Saccharomyces cerevisiae S288C: one gene and its partners. The protein of the gene in region 1 purifies or fractionates together with the protein of each later gene. This does not show direct contact. Each region holds a gene or a part of one and is shown in the gene's direction. Other genes may lie near its edges.

Region 1 (6,530 bases):
AAGAGCATTTTACAAGAAGTCAAGAAAAATGTTGATCCTGTGCATTTGCCTCCAGCAAACCCCATAAATGAGACTGTCTTACAAGACGTTTTTAATGAATATGAGCCACTTTTGCCAAGGATAGAAGAAGAAGATAGCCAATCGTATAGCTCGCTTGAGCTTGGCAGAACAATAGTCGTAAAGGAAAGAGAGAATTTTTTCAATGACTTCTTAATTGTTTCAGGTGTACTTATTGCCGGAATTTTGTCATGGTATATATCTTACTGTTCCGGCCTAGATAACGGTATTCCTAAAAAAAAACCTGCGTTCGAACAGATTAATTTACCTGCACAAATTTTAGGGTATTTAAGTGCGATACTGTACTTGGGCTCTAGGATCCCTCAGATTGTTCTTAACTTCAAAAGAAAATCATGCGAAGGAGTCTCATTCCTATTCTTTTTATTTGCATGCTTAGGGAACACTTCTTTCATAATCTCAGTGCTCTCAGCATCTTGGCTTATCGGTAGCGCTGGTACGCTGTTGATGGACTTCACAGTTTTTATTCAATTTTTCCTTTACGCCAAACCTAAATACGAGAAAATACTAATAGATAATTAACTAGTTGGCTTCTATTAATCTTTCCACTTAAAACTCAAACTTACTCATATGCGCATCGGCTATAGCCCAGAACTAGTATTTTCATTTTATGGAGGAAACAAAATTACTAGCGCCATCACGGCTCAGTCGTTATTTTGGCGATGCCCTTTGCTGACACGCGTCTGAAAAAATACACAAAAAATAACACAAAAACGAGTAATGCCATTTCCTGGGTGGGGTCTCTATCCATAGAGGAAAAAAAGTGACAGGAAGGGGACAAATTCAACTATTCACTGTAGTCATCTAATAATTTTTTTAACTTAATCACACCAACAAAAACAAAAAAAAGCTAAAACTAGGTTGAAGGATTTTAAGAGAAGTTATTGCACCGGTGTATTAACATATATAAGGATACGTACGAACATAACATCATGTCCAGCTTAGCCGATACAGTAGAGGGTAGCGAGGCCAAACGCGGCAGATTTTCCAACAATGCATTAACCTCCGATACTGGTATTTTACAGAAAAATAGTACATTAAGAAACTGGTTTTTAAAACCGACAGCAGACCTAAAAAATAGTTGCGAAGATAGAGTTGAAGATGACGTCAATGATGTCTACTTAAATGACAAAAACTCACAAAAATCTGTTGAAGAAAGAAAACTAGGAAGAAAAGTTAGATCTTTTTTCAAACAAACAAACTCAAATAAGGACGAGTCTGTGTTGGAAGATGAAGATGATGCGTTAGTTTGGAAGAAAACTAGCAATAAGTGTGCAAAAAAGGAAAATTCCCATGACATCCAAAAAGGAAGTTTCACAAAAAAAATCAGAAACAGTATTTTCAAGAGTGCAAATGACGTGAAAGAATTCAGGAATGAAAATAACTTACTATTGCCCGTTGAACTTTCTTCTGATGATGAGAATGAGTCTCATTTCACTGATGCTAACTCACATGTTATGCAATCAAAAAGTCCCGAGAAAATACCTTCCAAGGATCAATGCTTGACTAAAGGCGCTAAGAATAAAGGTCTGAAAAAGGAATATGAAAAAAGTTTTGAAGAGTATAGCGACGACAGTGACGATGAATTTTCTCCTGCTACTCCACCGGAGAATGTTCTTGAAGGTCCTTACAAATTTGTGTTTCAGACACCAAACACATTTACATCTCAGCCTAATATAACAGTAGAAAATGATTTTCACAAAGGTGGGAGACATGTGATTGACTATCTGAACAAAAAATTGGCTACTATGAACATTGATATTGATTTGACTTCAGGGGGGAAACAAAACGTATCTTGGGAGGAAGAGCTCGACCAATTGAGCGACCACGTTATAGAAAGTATTACTAACCACATTTCAAAGGGTAGAATGCACGCACAAGAGAAGCAAGATGAGTTGGAAAAGTTAAAATTGGAGAATTTGAACTTGTCAACATTAAAGCAAGAAAATCTCCAACATAAGCAGGAAATTAACTCATTGAAAGACAACCTTGAATCCATTAGTAAAAAAAACAATGATCTTATATTGGAAATGAACAAATTGAAAAAAAAAAGTACGAATAATAAAACAAATGAGTACATATCTACGGATGAAAACGAAAATGAGGAGATTACCAAATCCAATATGGGTCCTGGCATTTTAGAACTGAACGTCAACGAAACTTCAAAAAAATTACAGCAATCCACATTCAAACCCTCGAAATATCTTCCAAGAGAAACGAGAAACAATGAAAATAGATTAAAACACTTGGAAAAGAGAATATTTGGCTTAGAAAAATCTCTTGAAAAAAAAAAAAAACAGGTAAGGGCTGACAGCGTTAGATTAGACTTGAATAGATATACTATCGACCAGTTTTTGACATTACTGAAAAGCCTCAGCGAGGTTTTGCAATTCCACAATGTTTATGGCAATGATTTGAAGGAAAACGACGATAATATTATAAAGATTGAAACCTGCTGTAGTGCGCTAAACATGAAAAATTGTTTCGAAGACTCCTCATTTCGTTTACAAGAAAACAGCTTCAAGAGGCAATTGGGCCCTCTGTTCGCAAACATCAACTTCTCCTTAATCGACCAACTGACAATGAACTTCAGGTTCTACGAGAGATCTGCCAATTTCCAGAAGGAAACAATAGGTGGGTTAAGAATGATGCTACAAGATAAGGATAACTATATCAAAACACTGATGCAACATTTGAAGAAAAAAGAGAGTACAAAGTTGATAAAAGACAGCAAGAATGGCGCCTCCACCTTAACATCTTAACAATTTCGTTTACTGAAAATGCTACTAGTATATAATCATTAAGTATCTAACTATCACTCAATAAAAATATTATAGATCGCTTAAAAACTCGTTTATTGCCGATTATAAATCCACCAAAAGCCGCTCTACCCTTACCTCCGCCTGGAAAAATTATAATATATAAAGTGAGCCTCGTAATACAGGGGTAAAAAGGAAAGAGGGGGATATCAAGCATCTGGACTTATTTGCACTATCTCCGCCTTCAATTGATAAAAGCGTCTTGATTTTAATCAACTGCTATCATGTCTTCTTCAGTAGCCTCAACCGAAAACATAGTCGAAAATATGTTGCATCCAAAGACTACAGAAATATACTTTTCACTCAACAATGGTGTTCGTATCCCAGCACTGGGTTTGGGGACAGCAAATCCTCACGAAAAGTTAGCTGAAACAAAACAAGCCGTAAAAGCTGCAATCAAAGCTGGATACAGGCACATTGATACTGCTTGGGCCTACGAGACAGAGCCATTCGTAGGTGAAGCCATCAAGGAGTTATTAGAAGATGGATCTATCAAAAGGGAGGATCTTTTCATAACCACAAAAGTGTGGCCGGTTCTATGGGACGAAGTGGACAGATCATTGAATGAATCTTTGAAAGCTTTAGGCTTGGAATACGTCGACTTGCTCTTGCAACATTGGCCGCTATGTTTTGAAAAGATTAAGGACCCTAAGGGGATCAGCGGACTGGTGAAGACTCCGGTTGATGATTCTGGAAAAACAATGTATGCTGCCGACGGTGACTATTTAGAAACTTACAAGCAATTGGAAAAAATTTACCTTGATCCTAACGATCATCGTGTGAGAGCCATTGGTGTCTCAAATTTTTCCATTGAGTATTTGGAACGTCTCATTAAGGAATGCAGAGTTAAGCCAACGGTGAACCAAGTGGAAACTCACCCTCACTTACCACAAATGGAACTAAGAAAGTTCTGCTTTATGCACGACATTCTGTTAACAGCATACTCACCATTAGGTTCCCATGGCGCACCAAACTTGAAAATCCCACTAGTGAAAAAGCTTGCCGAAAAGTACAATGTCACAGGAAATGACTTGCTAATTTCTTACCATATTAGACAAGGCACTATCGTAATTCCGAGATCCTTGAATCCAGTTAGGATTTCCTCGAGTATTGAATTCGCATCTTTGACAAAGGATGAATTACAAGAGTTGAACGACTTCGGTGAAAAATACCCAGTGAGATTCATCGATGAGCCATTTGCAGCCATCCTTCCAGAGTTTACTGGTAACGGACCAAACTTGGACAATTTAAAGTATTAAGACAACGACTTTATTTTCACTTTATTTAGTTCGCTTCTTAATCTTGTCAAAAACAAGATATTGTGTAATCGCCTCAAGTAAACAATATGTTTTTCATACGTGATTTGAAGTTTTTAAGTATCTGAAATACATACGCGCGCGTATGCATATGTATTAGTTAAATTACTCGAATGTCCTTTATATAATATTACATTTTTACACACACATTCTTGAAGAAGAAATCCCGATCGTAAAAAAAAACACCGTGCTCCAAATGGCCTTCAATCTTTTCGAATAATTTATTCGATTGTTCATTCTCATCTCTATAATCATTCGCCGTACGTTCAGGATATGACGCATCAAGCAGCGAAGCTAAACCTGTTGGAAATAAAGATCTGTCATAGTCATCGTCTTCTTCATCATCATCAGCACCATTATTACTATAATCATCATCATTGTCATCATCATCATCATCATCATCATCATCATCATCATCATCATCATCATCATCATCATCATCATTAATATTGTTGTCATTGTCATTATTGTTACTGTTACTGTAGTTATTGTTATTATTATTAATAGTACTACTACTATTATTGCCATTTTTATTATTATTATTATTATTATTATTATTATCGTCAGTATCATCAGCGCCAGTAGTCTCGTTATTATCAGTATTGGTACCATTACTATGATGATATTCCTCGCCTGGCTCAAGAGTTTTATTTTCCCACAATTTCGGAATGCTTGAAAATTGCAAGAAGTTCAAATCCTGGATTGTTATTTCATTGAAAATATTGAAGGACACTTCCATTTTTTCTTGGTCCTCTGTAACGAAACTACCAAATGCAGCCATCTTCTCTTTATTTATGAACGAAGTTTTCAAGAGCTCGACCATATCATCTTTTGATTCTCTCGTATGCTTAACTAACCTATTGAGAACACCCTCATAATAATTTGAATCAAAGGCATAGAATTTTGCGTATTTACTTGTCAGATTGAACTTTTCCATCGTACTCCGTAGAAAAAAAGTGTAAAAAAAAAGAGATGTTTGCCACTTCAGATTGTGTACTGAAAGACAGCGTTCTTCAGATCCAAGCATACGGGTATGTGTATCCCTCAATAATCCAATTATATAACCAGTCTCCATGGCATGTTCGTCATTAACCATAATCTCTGACAAATACAGAAACATGGAAAAAACCGTTGTGAGAGAAAAATACAGAAACTCATTCTGAACAGTAGGGTAGTATTCAAAATCTTTCAAAATATTAAGTACTTCGATGCAATTTCGCTTGAAATCCAATCTTGACCTTCTAATAATTTCAGCTATATCATGCCGGGAACTTTCCCGTTGATCTAAGTTATCTCCAATGATGGATATGACAAATAAACTCAGGGTTATCTTTTGATGGTACCATCTGAGGTGTAATAGAATAGTAGTACAACAACTCACTTCAAAATCTAACTTCGAAGAATCCAAAGATAAAATCCTCATGTTTTCCTTGTAATTTTCTAATGATAATATGGTGGGCAAATCGTCTCGCATTCTATCTAACGCCTTTTGATTTTCCAGTACATTTTCAATGATTTCATCTAGTGTATCGTCTAAAGTTGTTCTGATGGAAAAACATGAGTAATATATTTGAGACTCTATGAGGGATAATCTCGACAAAAAATATGATTGAATGTATGGTACATATTCAAGGTGATTCGCGAGTAAGTTTACAACGGATACAATATCTTTCACCCCTTCTAGTTTTGAATCATCGTATTTTATAGAAAGATTGGGCAGAATTTTATCTCTGAATAGTTCAACATAGCTTTCATCTGTTAATACATCAGTGTTTTCCTCCTTGAGAAAGGGCGGTCTTGACAACACCACAGAAAAGAATTTGTCTGTTGAAAAACAATAACACCACAAGCGTCTTCTTTTAATGATTTCATCAAGTTCTAGATCCTCATAGGTGGAATGTAAATTGAGCCGTAAATCCAAAGCCACTTTGATAGCAACGGATAGTACTTTGACCGCTGATGAAGCACTTATTTTTTGTTGGGCAAACTTTGCCAGTAACAGTAATGCCTTTAATGCCGTCATATCTGCGCGTGCTACAGACAGTTTATGGTAGTAATAGACAGAATTGAGAAAAGTGAAAGATCTGAGTCTCCATAATTCGAACTTCTCAAAATAATAGGTTTCATGATTATCTTCATCAACTAGCTCCTGCTTCTCCTCAAAATTTGTAACGGTGGCCCCAAGGCAGAGGCAGATATTTAGCAAAAATGCCTGTGATGATGTCAATCTTCCTTTAGCAGGATCAAAGTGCACGTCGGCAAATTGCAAACATTGATCTACATCCACTATGTGGAGAAGAGAGGCTAATGATGGACATTT
Region 2 (5,039 bases), on another chromosome or scaffold:
GATTACGTAGGTATTTGAAGTCACCGGATAGACCTTTAAGTATTAGTTGACAGGCCAATCTGTCGCTAACATTGATATTGTTTTCTTTTAGCCTCTGAATGATCGTACTGACTGTAATTTCAAATGTATCAGCAGATGTACTTCCGTCGTACTCAAGGTTGGCAAGAGCTATCCAATCCTTTAATTCTTGATTGTTAGTTTGCATTTTGGACACACTTTTACAAAGGACTGTAAGGATGTCAGCATAATTAATTTCTAAAATTTGTTTTACCCATGTTGGCAATAAATGAAATGGGGCAAATGCTTGGAAGGTATTGTATATATACGCATGTTCTTCATAAGTCATTTGTCTTTTGATTTCACCCTGGTCATTTGGAATGATGTCACCGAGATTAGAGTTCTTCAAAAATCTGATGTAAAATTTAACCCATGTAGAAAAGTTTTCTTCTGATGTTAAAGTGTGTGGTGGTAAGACGTTATTTCCCACCTTTGTCTTAGCTTGAGGTATTTCAGAGTGTTGATTTTTTAAATCGATTGGATCAGGTGAGGAAGTACTCAGTGGTGGGATATACTGTGGCAACGGATAGTGTGGGTCCGGTTGATAATACGCAGGTGACGTTTGATAATGTGAACACGTCATCATAGATGGTTGTTGGTAATGTGCCCAGTTAGAGGCCATAGCTTTGTTTGGGGTCATCATGCCGTGCTGTTGGTACTGTCCATTCTGTGGAGGTGGTACTGAAGCAGGTTGAGGAGAGACATGATGATGGTTCTCTGGAACAGCTGATGTCCCAGGTGTTGTCTCTTGTTGAGAATTAACCTTAGTGGAATCTCTATCAAATTCCGGTAAATTGGAAGCTGAAACGGCTAACGGATCTTGATTTGATGGGACTTCCTTAGAAGTAACCGAAGCATAGGCGCTACCATGAAGATTGGGTGAATTTTGAGATAATTGTTGGGATTCCATTTTTAATAAGGCAATAATATTAGGTATGTAGATATACTAGAAGTTCTCCTCCAGGATTTAGGAATCCATAAAAGGGAATCTGCAATTCTACACAATTCTATAAATATTATTATCATCATTTTATATGTTAATATTCATTGATCCTATTACATTATCAATCCTTGCGTTTCAGCTTCCACTAATTTAGATGACTATTTCTCATCATTTGCGTCATCTTCTAACACCGTATATGATAATATACTAGTAACGTAAATACTAGTTAGTAGATGATAGTTGATTTTTATTCCAACAAGAAAAATACAATCTTCGAAAGTCATCCTCCCTTGAATATTCTTTCTTACCTAAACGAATAAGAACAGAATCTGAAAACAGGCAAGTGATTTTACGGAGGGTTGGCCGAGTGGTCTAAGGCGGCAGACTTAAGATCTGTTGGACGGTTGTCCGCGCGAGTTCGAACCTCGCATCCTTCAATAACTTATTTTTTTCCTCAATCTTCGATATTAGACATTTTTTTTTTCCTATGCCTCCCTTTTCCAAGTAATGTTTTTTTTTTTTTTTTTTTTTTTAGCTCCTCTCACAAAAGTACTGAGGACTGAAATGTAAAAACTAATAACACAATAGAAATAATCATATGATGATATAGAAAAGAAGAGAGGAGACAATCATAATATTATACGAACTCATGGCTTTCCTTATGGGAAATTCTACATTCTCGATAGTGACCCTGGTATATTCAATATACTTAGGAATAACTGTCTTTCATAACAATGGCGGCCATACGATTACCGTATTATCCACCTATTCTTGATATTAAACTGGAAATTCTGTGAATTTTGTGATAATTGTTGGAATTCCATTGTTAATAAAGGCTATAATATTAGGTATACAGGGTTTACTAGAAGTTCTCATCGAGGATTTAGGAATCCTCAAAATGGAATCTATATTTCTACATGCTAATGTTACGATTATTCCTCATTTCGTTTTATATGTTTCATTATCCTATTACATTATCAATCCTTGCATTTCAGCTTCCTCTAACTTCGAAGCTTTCCATAACTTCTGTCATCATCTAATACCGTATATGATAATATATTGATAGTATGACCACTAGTTGATACACTGTTGGAATAAAAACCAACTATCATCTACTAACTAGTATTTATGTTACTAGTATATTATCATATACGGTGTTAGAAGATGACACAAATGATGAGAAATAGTCATCTAAATTAGTGGAAACTGAAACGCAAGGATTGATAATGTAATAGGATAATGAAACATATAAAACTGAATGAGGAATGATCGTAATATTAGCATGTAGAAATATAGATTCCATTATGGGGATTCCTATATCCTGGAGGAGAACTTCTAGTATATCTACATACCTAATATTATTGCCTTATTAAAAATGGAATCCCAACAATTACATCAGAATCCGCACAATTATCATAGATGATAATGGATTTTTATTCCAACAATCAGCATGCCTTTTGTATTTCTGTAAAGAAGAGTAAACCATAACCTAAGTCAATATCAAATTTAGGATTGATGAATTTTCTACTCAAAATGCTTTGTTCAAGAAGGTACGAAAGAAGGTTCCAATCGTCCATTTTAGGGTCCTATAGTGTAGTGGTTATCACTTTCGGTTTTGATCCGGACAACCCCGGTTCGAATCCGGGTAGGACCTTTTCTATTTTTTAACCCTCTTGTTTTATTTTTCTTTCTTGGCTTTGAATTGCACAGCCCCTCGCATTTTTTTTCGATACCCTGAAAAAAGGAAAAAGGCGAAGAAATAAGGGCAATTTCTATTTAAAAATTATACAAGCTCGATTTTTCATTTTCTCCTTCCCCTCTCGCCCCTCCCAGTTTTCAACTGTATTTAAATGTTTCTCAGTTATGTTGTGAATTAAAATAATCCTAATTGTCAACTAAAAAAGTCTAAGTTAGCAATACCAAAATGAGGCATCATCAAAATATGCATTATGCCCCACAACAACAACCAGTCTATGTCCAACAGCCTCCTCCTCGGAGAGAATCCGGTGGTTGCTGTAGAACCTGTTGTCACTTCCTATGTTGTCTATGTTTAATTAACCTATGTTGTGACGTTTTTTAATTCTAATCGACAGCTAAAAATTAGTATGGAAAGAACATCATATTTAGCCGCTGAAAAAAAAGAAGCAGCTGCGTATCTTCTCAAATTTATGCGTACATAGTGACATATATTTAAAAGCTTCCTCACTTTCCTTTTTTATATTTTTTCATTGCTCAAGTATTAGTCACATCGGAAAGTATGCTTGCTGCATTAAATACATGCATGTGTTTATAAGTGTTTGCATTTTCTCTCTCTTCTTTTTTTTCTTCCTGTTACTTGTATACGAACGACATATTTATTTTCACTATTTCTCATTTATATTTATAGCTACTACCCCTATTACGTTACAAGAACACTTTATAGCATTATGTTCATTAAAAACGATCACGCCGGTGACAGGAAACGCTTGGAAGACTGGAGAATCAAAGGTTATGATCCATTAACCCCTCCAGATCTGCTTCAACATGAATTTCCAATTTCAGCCAAAGGTGAGGAAAACATTATCAAGGCAAGAGACTCCGTCTGTGATATTTTGAATGGTAAAGATGATCGTTTAGTTATCGTGATCGGGCCATGTTCCCTACATGACCCCAAAGCCGCTTACGATTACGCTGACAGATTGGCTAAAATTTCAGAAAAGTTGTCAAAAGACTTATTGATTATTATGAGAGCGTATTTAGAAAAACCAAGGACTACTGTTGGCTGGAAAGGGTTGATTAACGACCCTGATATGAATAACTCTTTTCAAATCAATAAAGGTCTACGGATTTCGAGAGAAATGTTCATAAAACTGGTTGAAAAATTACCCATTGCTGGTGAGATGTTGGATACCATTTCTCCGCAGTTTTTGAGTGATTGTTTCTCCTTGGGTGCCATCGGCGCCAGAACTACTGAATCCCAACTGCACAGAGAATTAGCATCCGGTCTATCTTTCCCTATTGGATTTAAGAACGGTACTGATGGTGGTTTGCAAGTCGCCATCGACGCTATGAGAGCCGCTGCACATGAACATTACTTCCTTTCTGTCACAAAGCCAGGTGTCACTGCTATCGTGGGCACTGAAGGTAACAAGGATACCTTCCTGATCTTGAGAGGTGGTAAGAACGGTACTAACTTTGACAAAGAAAGTGTTCAAAATACTAAGAAACAGTTAGAAAAGGCCGGTTTGACTGATGATTCCCAGAAAAGAATTATGATCGATTGTTCCCACGGCAACAGTAATAAAGATTTCAAGAACCAACCAAAGGTTGCCAAATGTATTTATGACCAGCTGACGGAGGGTGAGAATAGTCTCTGTGGTGTTATGATTGAGTCCAACATAAATGAAGGTAGACAAGATATTCCCAAAGAAGGTGGCAGAGAGGGATTGAAGTATGGTTGTTCTGTTACGGATGCTTGTATTGGCTGGGAGTCCACCGAACAGGTATTGGAGCTATTGGCAGAAGGTGTTAGAAACAGAAGAAAGGCCTTGAAAAAATAGCCTGTAAATGAGGGAAAAATGCAAATAATCTTGAATGATACTCAAAACTTTTGATTTATTGTAATTTCTTTCTGAACCATATTTATTACATTCAAACTTTTTTTTTTTTGCCTTTTATAAAAAAAAATACTTATAAGAAAAGAGAAAGAAAATGACAGTTTTCTATGTATCATTAAATAAACATCCATATACAAATATAGCGTTATGTTTTACTTTTATTATTTACATGCATAGAAGTGTTGGCAAAATTCTTTACGAGCCACGGGGCTGCTATTTCAGGTTTTATTTCCATCTTAAGCCATCGTTAACTTCTTCACATTTTCTTTCACAAACAATTTTACATAGCGATTGGATACCCAGTTTCCCTCTTCTAGAAGGAATCACATTGGCAAAGTGATTTAGTACTTCTCTTTCGGTAACTTTGGCGCCAGTGTCATCATTCGTTCTCTTTTCAATATACGCAGCGATTTCCTGTTCTGTAGGCAATTGGTATTTAGAAT
Region 3 (4,106 bases), on another chromosome or scaffold:
ATTTTCCAGACCTTGGTACAAAGAAACCCGGCTCCATTTTCAAGTTTTTTTGAGTTTAAAGACATTATTCCCCGCCAAGATGAAACGCCTCCAGTTTTGTGCTTCTTAAGTACTTCTCCAGAAAGGTTTTTGAAGTGGGATGCAGACACATGCGAGCTACGTCCCATCAAGGGAACTGTGAAAAAAGGACCGCAAATGAACTTGGCAAAAGCCACACGAATCCTGAAGACACCAAAAGAATTTGGTGAGAACTTAATGATTTTGGACTTAATCAGAAATGACCTTTACGAGTTGGTTCCTGACGTTCGGGTGGAGGAGTTCATGTCCGTGCAAGAATATGCCACCGTTTACCAACTCGTTAGCGTCGTAAAGGCACATGGATTGACCTCTGCCAGTAAGAAGACGAGATATTCAGGCATTGATGTCCTTAAACACTCGCTTCCTCCGGGATCTATGACGGGAGCCCCCAAGAAGATTACTGTGCAATTATTGCAGGACAAGATAGAAAGCAAGCTAAACAAACATGTCAATGGTGGAGCACGTGGTGTTTACAGCGGTGTCACGGGATATTGGTCTGTGAATTCCAACGGAGATTGGTCTGTTAACATTAGATGTATGTATTCCTACAACGGCGGAACCAGCTGGCAACTCGGTGCAGGGGGGGCCATAACAGTCTTAAGCACACTAGATGGCGAACTAGAGGAAATGTACAACAAGTTGGAGAGCAACTTACAAATTTTCATGTAGATATTTGTATATTATTAGATATGTATGCAAACATTTTCTTTAGAATAATATACTATTCTTGTACGATGCAGAATTTTTTTTTTTTTTCGCTTTAGGAAAATGACGTTTTGTGCCGTGGAAAACCCTGGAAAAGGATATTGGAAAAAAGTTAAAGCATGGTCATTTAGGGAAGACTTTCCTTCCAATTTACTTATCAATAGGTTATAATGTATGCTTGACGGAGCAGAATTCTTTCAAACCATAAGATAATAGATATTATAACATTTTAGTACATAAAAGAGGCCCGAGAAAATAGATTTTAACTGGAATAATTTTTTGCAAGATGACAACAACCGTACCTAAAGTGTTTGCATTCCATGAATTTGCAGGAGTAGCTGAGGCAGTTGCCGATCATGTTATTCACGCACAAAACTCTGCCCTTAAGAAGGGCAAAGTCTCAAGGTCCACACAGATGTCCGGAACGAGCCTTAACGGAAATGGTAACACAGAATCCAAAACGATGGAGAGAGTAAATTCTGTAAGGAGTAATGCCTCCAGCCGTGGTGGTAGTGAAGACGGCGCCACTAAGAAATTGAAAAAGGAGAAAGAAAGGCGCTTCAAGATTGCGTTGTCCGGTGGTTCGTTAATCCAAGTGTTGCACGAAGGATTGTTGAAAAGAGACGACGTTCAATGGGGTAAATGGGACATTTACTTTGCTGATGAAAGACTAGTGCCCTTTAGCTCCAGTGAAAGCAATTACGGTCTTGCTAAGAGAAAAATATTCGATTTAATAGATACGGAGAAGTACGGAACTCCGAAAATTTATCACATTGATGAGTCATTGATTAACGACCCTCAAGAGTGTGCAGATAACTATGAGAAAATTCTAATTAAAGGATTTGCCGGTAGAGATTCTGTGAAACTACCGATGTTTGATCTGTTTCTGCTTGGCTGCGCTCCTGACGGTCACATAGCCTCGTTATTCCCCAATTTTCAAGAGAATCTACGTGAAAATCTGGCATGGGTCATACCTGTAGAAAATGCACCCAGCGGACCTTCGAATAGGATTTCACTGACCATCCCAGTGATTTGTCACTCTCATAGAGTCACCTTTGTTGTAGAGGGCGCCACAAAGGCGCCTGTAATCAAGACAATAATGGAAAGGCCTGAAAAGGGATTGCCTAGTAGTATTGTCAATGAGGGCGCCGCCGGTCGTGTTTCATGGTTTGTAGACGACGATGCTTTGAAAGATGTCTTTGTAATTAAGAAGAAGTACAAGTTTTATGATGATGAGAATTTGACTGAGTAGGTGTTTAATTTTTTGGGTTCTTTTTCTTTCTGATGATAATGACAACTAATGACAATACTATGATTTAACCTTAACCATTTTCTTTTTTTAGCTCTTTCTATCCCCACCCTTCCCTTTAGTAATCGCAATAAATCACCCTATGTTTTTGAATTTTCTCGAGAAGTAACTTTATATAAAACAAGTCATCTTAGTGACGTAGTGTGCATATATAACATACAACATATATAATATATACAATAACCCTTTAGAAAAAAATAATAACAACCACAGTGGATATTTCCCTTTTGGACCTATGGCTTCCGCTAAGAGAAAAGCATGCTTTTAAGTTTTCTTTTCTTTCAAGGAGATTATTTGGTCTTAAGCGAAGTGAGAGATTGAAACAAAATGTTAATTACAGAGTTTACGAAGAATCAGTTTGCAAGACCACCTTATTCGTATGGCATTATCAAGCTTTGTGTGTAGACTATCCACACAAACATGATTCAACATACATAGCAGTGGTAGGTATACAACGGATATAAAAACCTTAACTCTACGTGTAGAAAATGTAAAAGGGTAGAGCGGTTGCAAAAAAGCAAGTTTTAGTAGGATTCCAGGAACAGCTTCTCATCTTGCTAGATAACATACGGCAATAATGACAAAATACACTGAGCCATGCGGTTGTTACACTTTCCCAAAATAGTAATCTACTTCTCCCATTTTTTATATTTTGCGTATCACACCACATCGTCCCTCAACACAAAAGTTTTTGTTCTTGTTGACAAGACTGTCATTTTCCCCTTGAGTGACTTTATGTCGCTGATTCATTCATTTCGGCATTGTTTGCTGTTTATTCCCCAGATTCTTTCCGCTTTGCTTGGCTGCCCCTTTCCCCGGAAGCCTCGAGATTAAGATGAAAAGACTAATAGCCAGGCTGTTAACCCCTTGTTGATACAGTTTGGACACCCCCTACTAGTTAGCTGTGTATCCTGAATCTATGTCAAGCAAAAATTGCTTACATACAGTAAGGTATTTTTTATAATCCCGCCAACACTATGTCGACTCCTTCATTTTGGACATCTTCTTTACATGGACGAACCAGAGAAGGAGGTCGGCTCGAAGGGAATGTAAAGCTATCATAGGGGTATAAATAAGAGACACATTGTTCTATTATAGAGAAAAATATTTTATAGATCTTGTATCTCATCTTGCGTAATATAACCAAACAAAGGTTTTCCTTATACTATATCAAACCAAAAAAAAAAAAAAGCAAAACAACAAATAATCATAATATCATGAAGTCAAGTATTCCAATCACCGAAGTATTGCCAAGAGCAGTGGGTTCGCTAACATTCGATGAAAATTACAATTTACTGGATACATCAGGTGTCGCAAAAGTCATCGAAAAGTCACCAATCGCAGAAATAATCAGGAAATCAAATGCCGAGTTAGGTAGGCTGGGCTACTCCGTCTACGAAGATGCTCAATATATAGGTCATGCCTTCAAGAAAGCTGGCCATTTTATTGTGTACTTCACTCCAAAGAACAAGAACAGAGAGGGCGTTGTTCCTCCTGTAGGAATAACCAATTAGCTCAGAACAGAATTAGTGTTAATAGCGGTGACAGTAGTTTTATTGTATCTCACCTTTTTTTATGTATAATCATATAATGACTTAATTATTTTTGAAATGTTTCTTTTTTTTTTTTTAGTTATAACCCTTTTTACGGATTCTTACGTACTTATTTAATCTTTCTAGTAGACAATCTTTCTACCGGTGAAGGTTCTTCTTGCCTGTTGTCTGCCTTCTGCACTCAATTCATCATTTTCATCATCTTCGTCCACCTTGGCTCTATTTAAGACTTTGATGAACGAGTCCACTCTGAATCTCATTCTGGAGTGCATGTAGGCTTTAGAGCACTTTATGTGATAATGGAAGTAGTTTCTAAACAATGTTAACTGGCAAATTGAATGGAATTGCAACTCTTTTGTCTGGAAATGACGTGGGAAAAGAACAAACGTGATAAATCTTCTACTTTGCTCTGCAACTTTAGGTGGTTGATATAGTCTCTTCAACTCCAATGGTGGTTCATG

The links.
Region 2: the proteins of ARA1 (region 1) and ARO3 purify together in Saccharomyces cerevisiae (affinity purification with mass spectrometry, with the first as the bait; one large-scale study listed by BioGRID). This does not show direct contact.
Region 3: the proteins of ARA1 (region 1) and EGO4 purify together in Saccharomyces cerevisiae (affinity purification with mass spectrometry, with the first as the bait; one large-scale study listed by BioGRID). This does not show direct contact.

Annotation. Positions count from the first base shown.
Region 1 is NC_001134.8:536,869-543,398, forward strand, and holds ARA1 (D-arabinose 1-dehydrogenase (NAD(P)(+)) ARA1), read left to right. Parts: upstream 1-3,118; coding exon 3,119-4,153; downstream 4,154-6,530. Other genes in the region: RTC2 (cationic amino acid transporter), read left to right, coding at 1-597; YSW1 (Ysw1p), read left to right, coding at 1,008-2,837; TBS1 (Tbs1p), read right to left, coding at 4,341-6,530. UniProt on the Saccharomyces cerevisiae protein: Catalyzes the oxidation of D-arabinose, L-xylose, L-fucose and L-galactose in the presence of NADP(+).
Region 2 is NC_001136.10:518,390-523,428, forward strand, and holds ARO3 (3-deoxy-7-phosphoheptulonate synthase ARO3), read left to right. Parts: upstream 1-3,426; coding exon 3,427-4,539; downstream 4,540-5,039. Other genes in the region: YDR034C-C (gag protein), read right to left, coding at 1-967; YDR034C-A (uncharacterized protein), read right to left, coding at 2,127-2,303; cysteine-rich palmitoylated domain-containing protein CPP3, read left to right, coding at 2,925-3,080; mitochondrial 37S ribosomal protein mS47 EHD3, read right to left, coding at 4,822-5,039. UniProt on the Saccharomyces cerevisiae protein: Stereospecific condensation of phosphoenolpyruvate (PEP) and D-erythrose-4-phosphate (E4P) giving rise to 3-deoxy-D-arabino-heptulosonate-7-phosphate (DAHP).
Region 3 is NC_001146.8:689,252-693,357, forward strand, and holds EGO4 (Ego4p), read left to right. Parts: upstream 1-3,309; coding exon 3,310-3,606; downstream 3,607-4,106. Other genes in the region: ABZ1 (4-amino-4-deoxychorismate synthase), read left to right, coding at 1-747; SOL1 (Sol1p), read left to right, coding at 1,070-2,035; ARC35 (Arc35p), read right to left, coding at 3,768-4,106.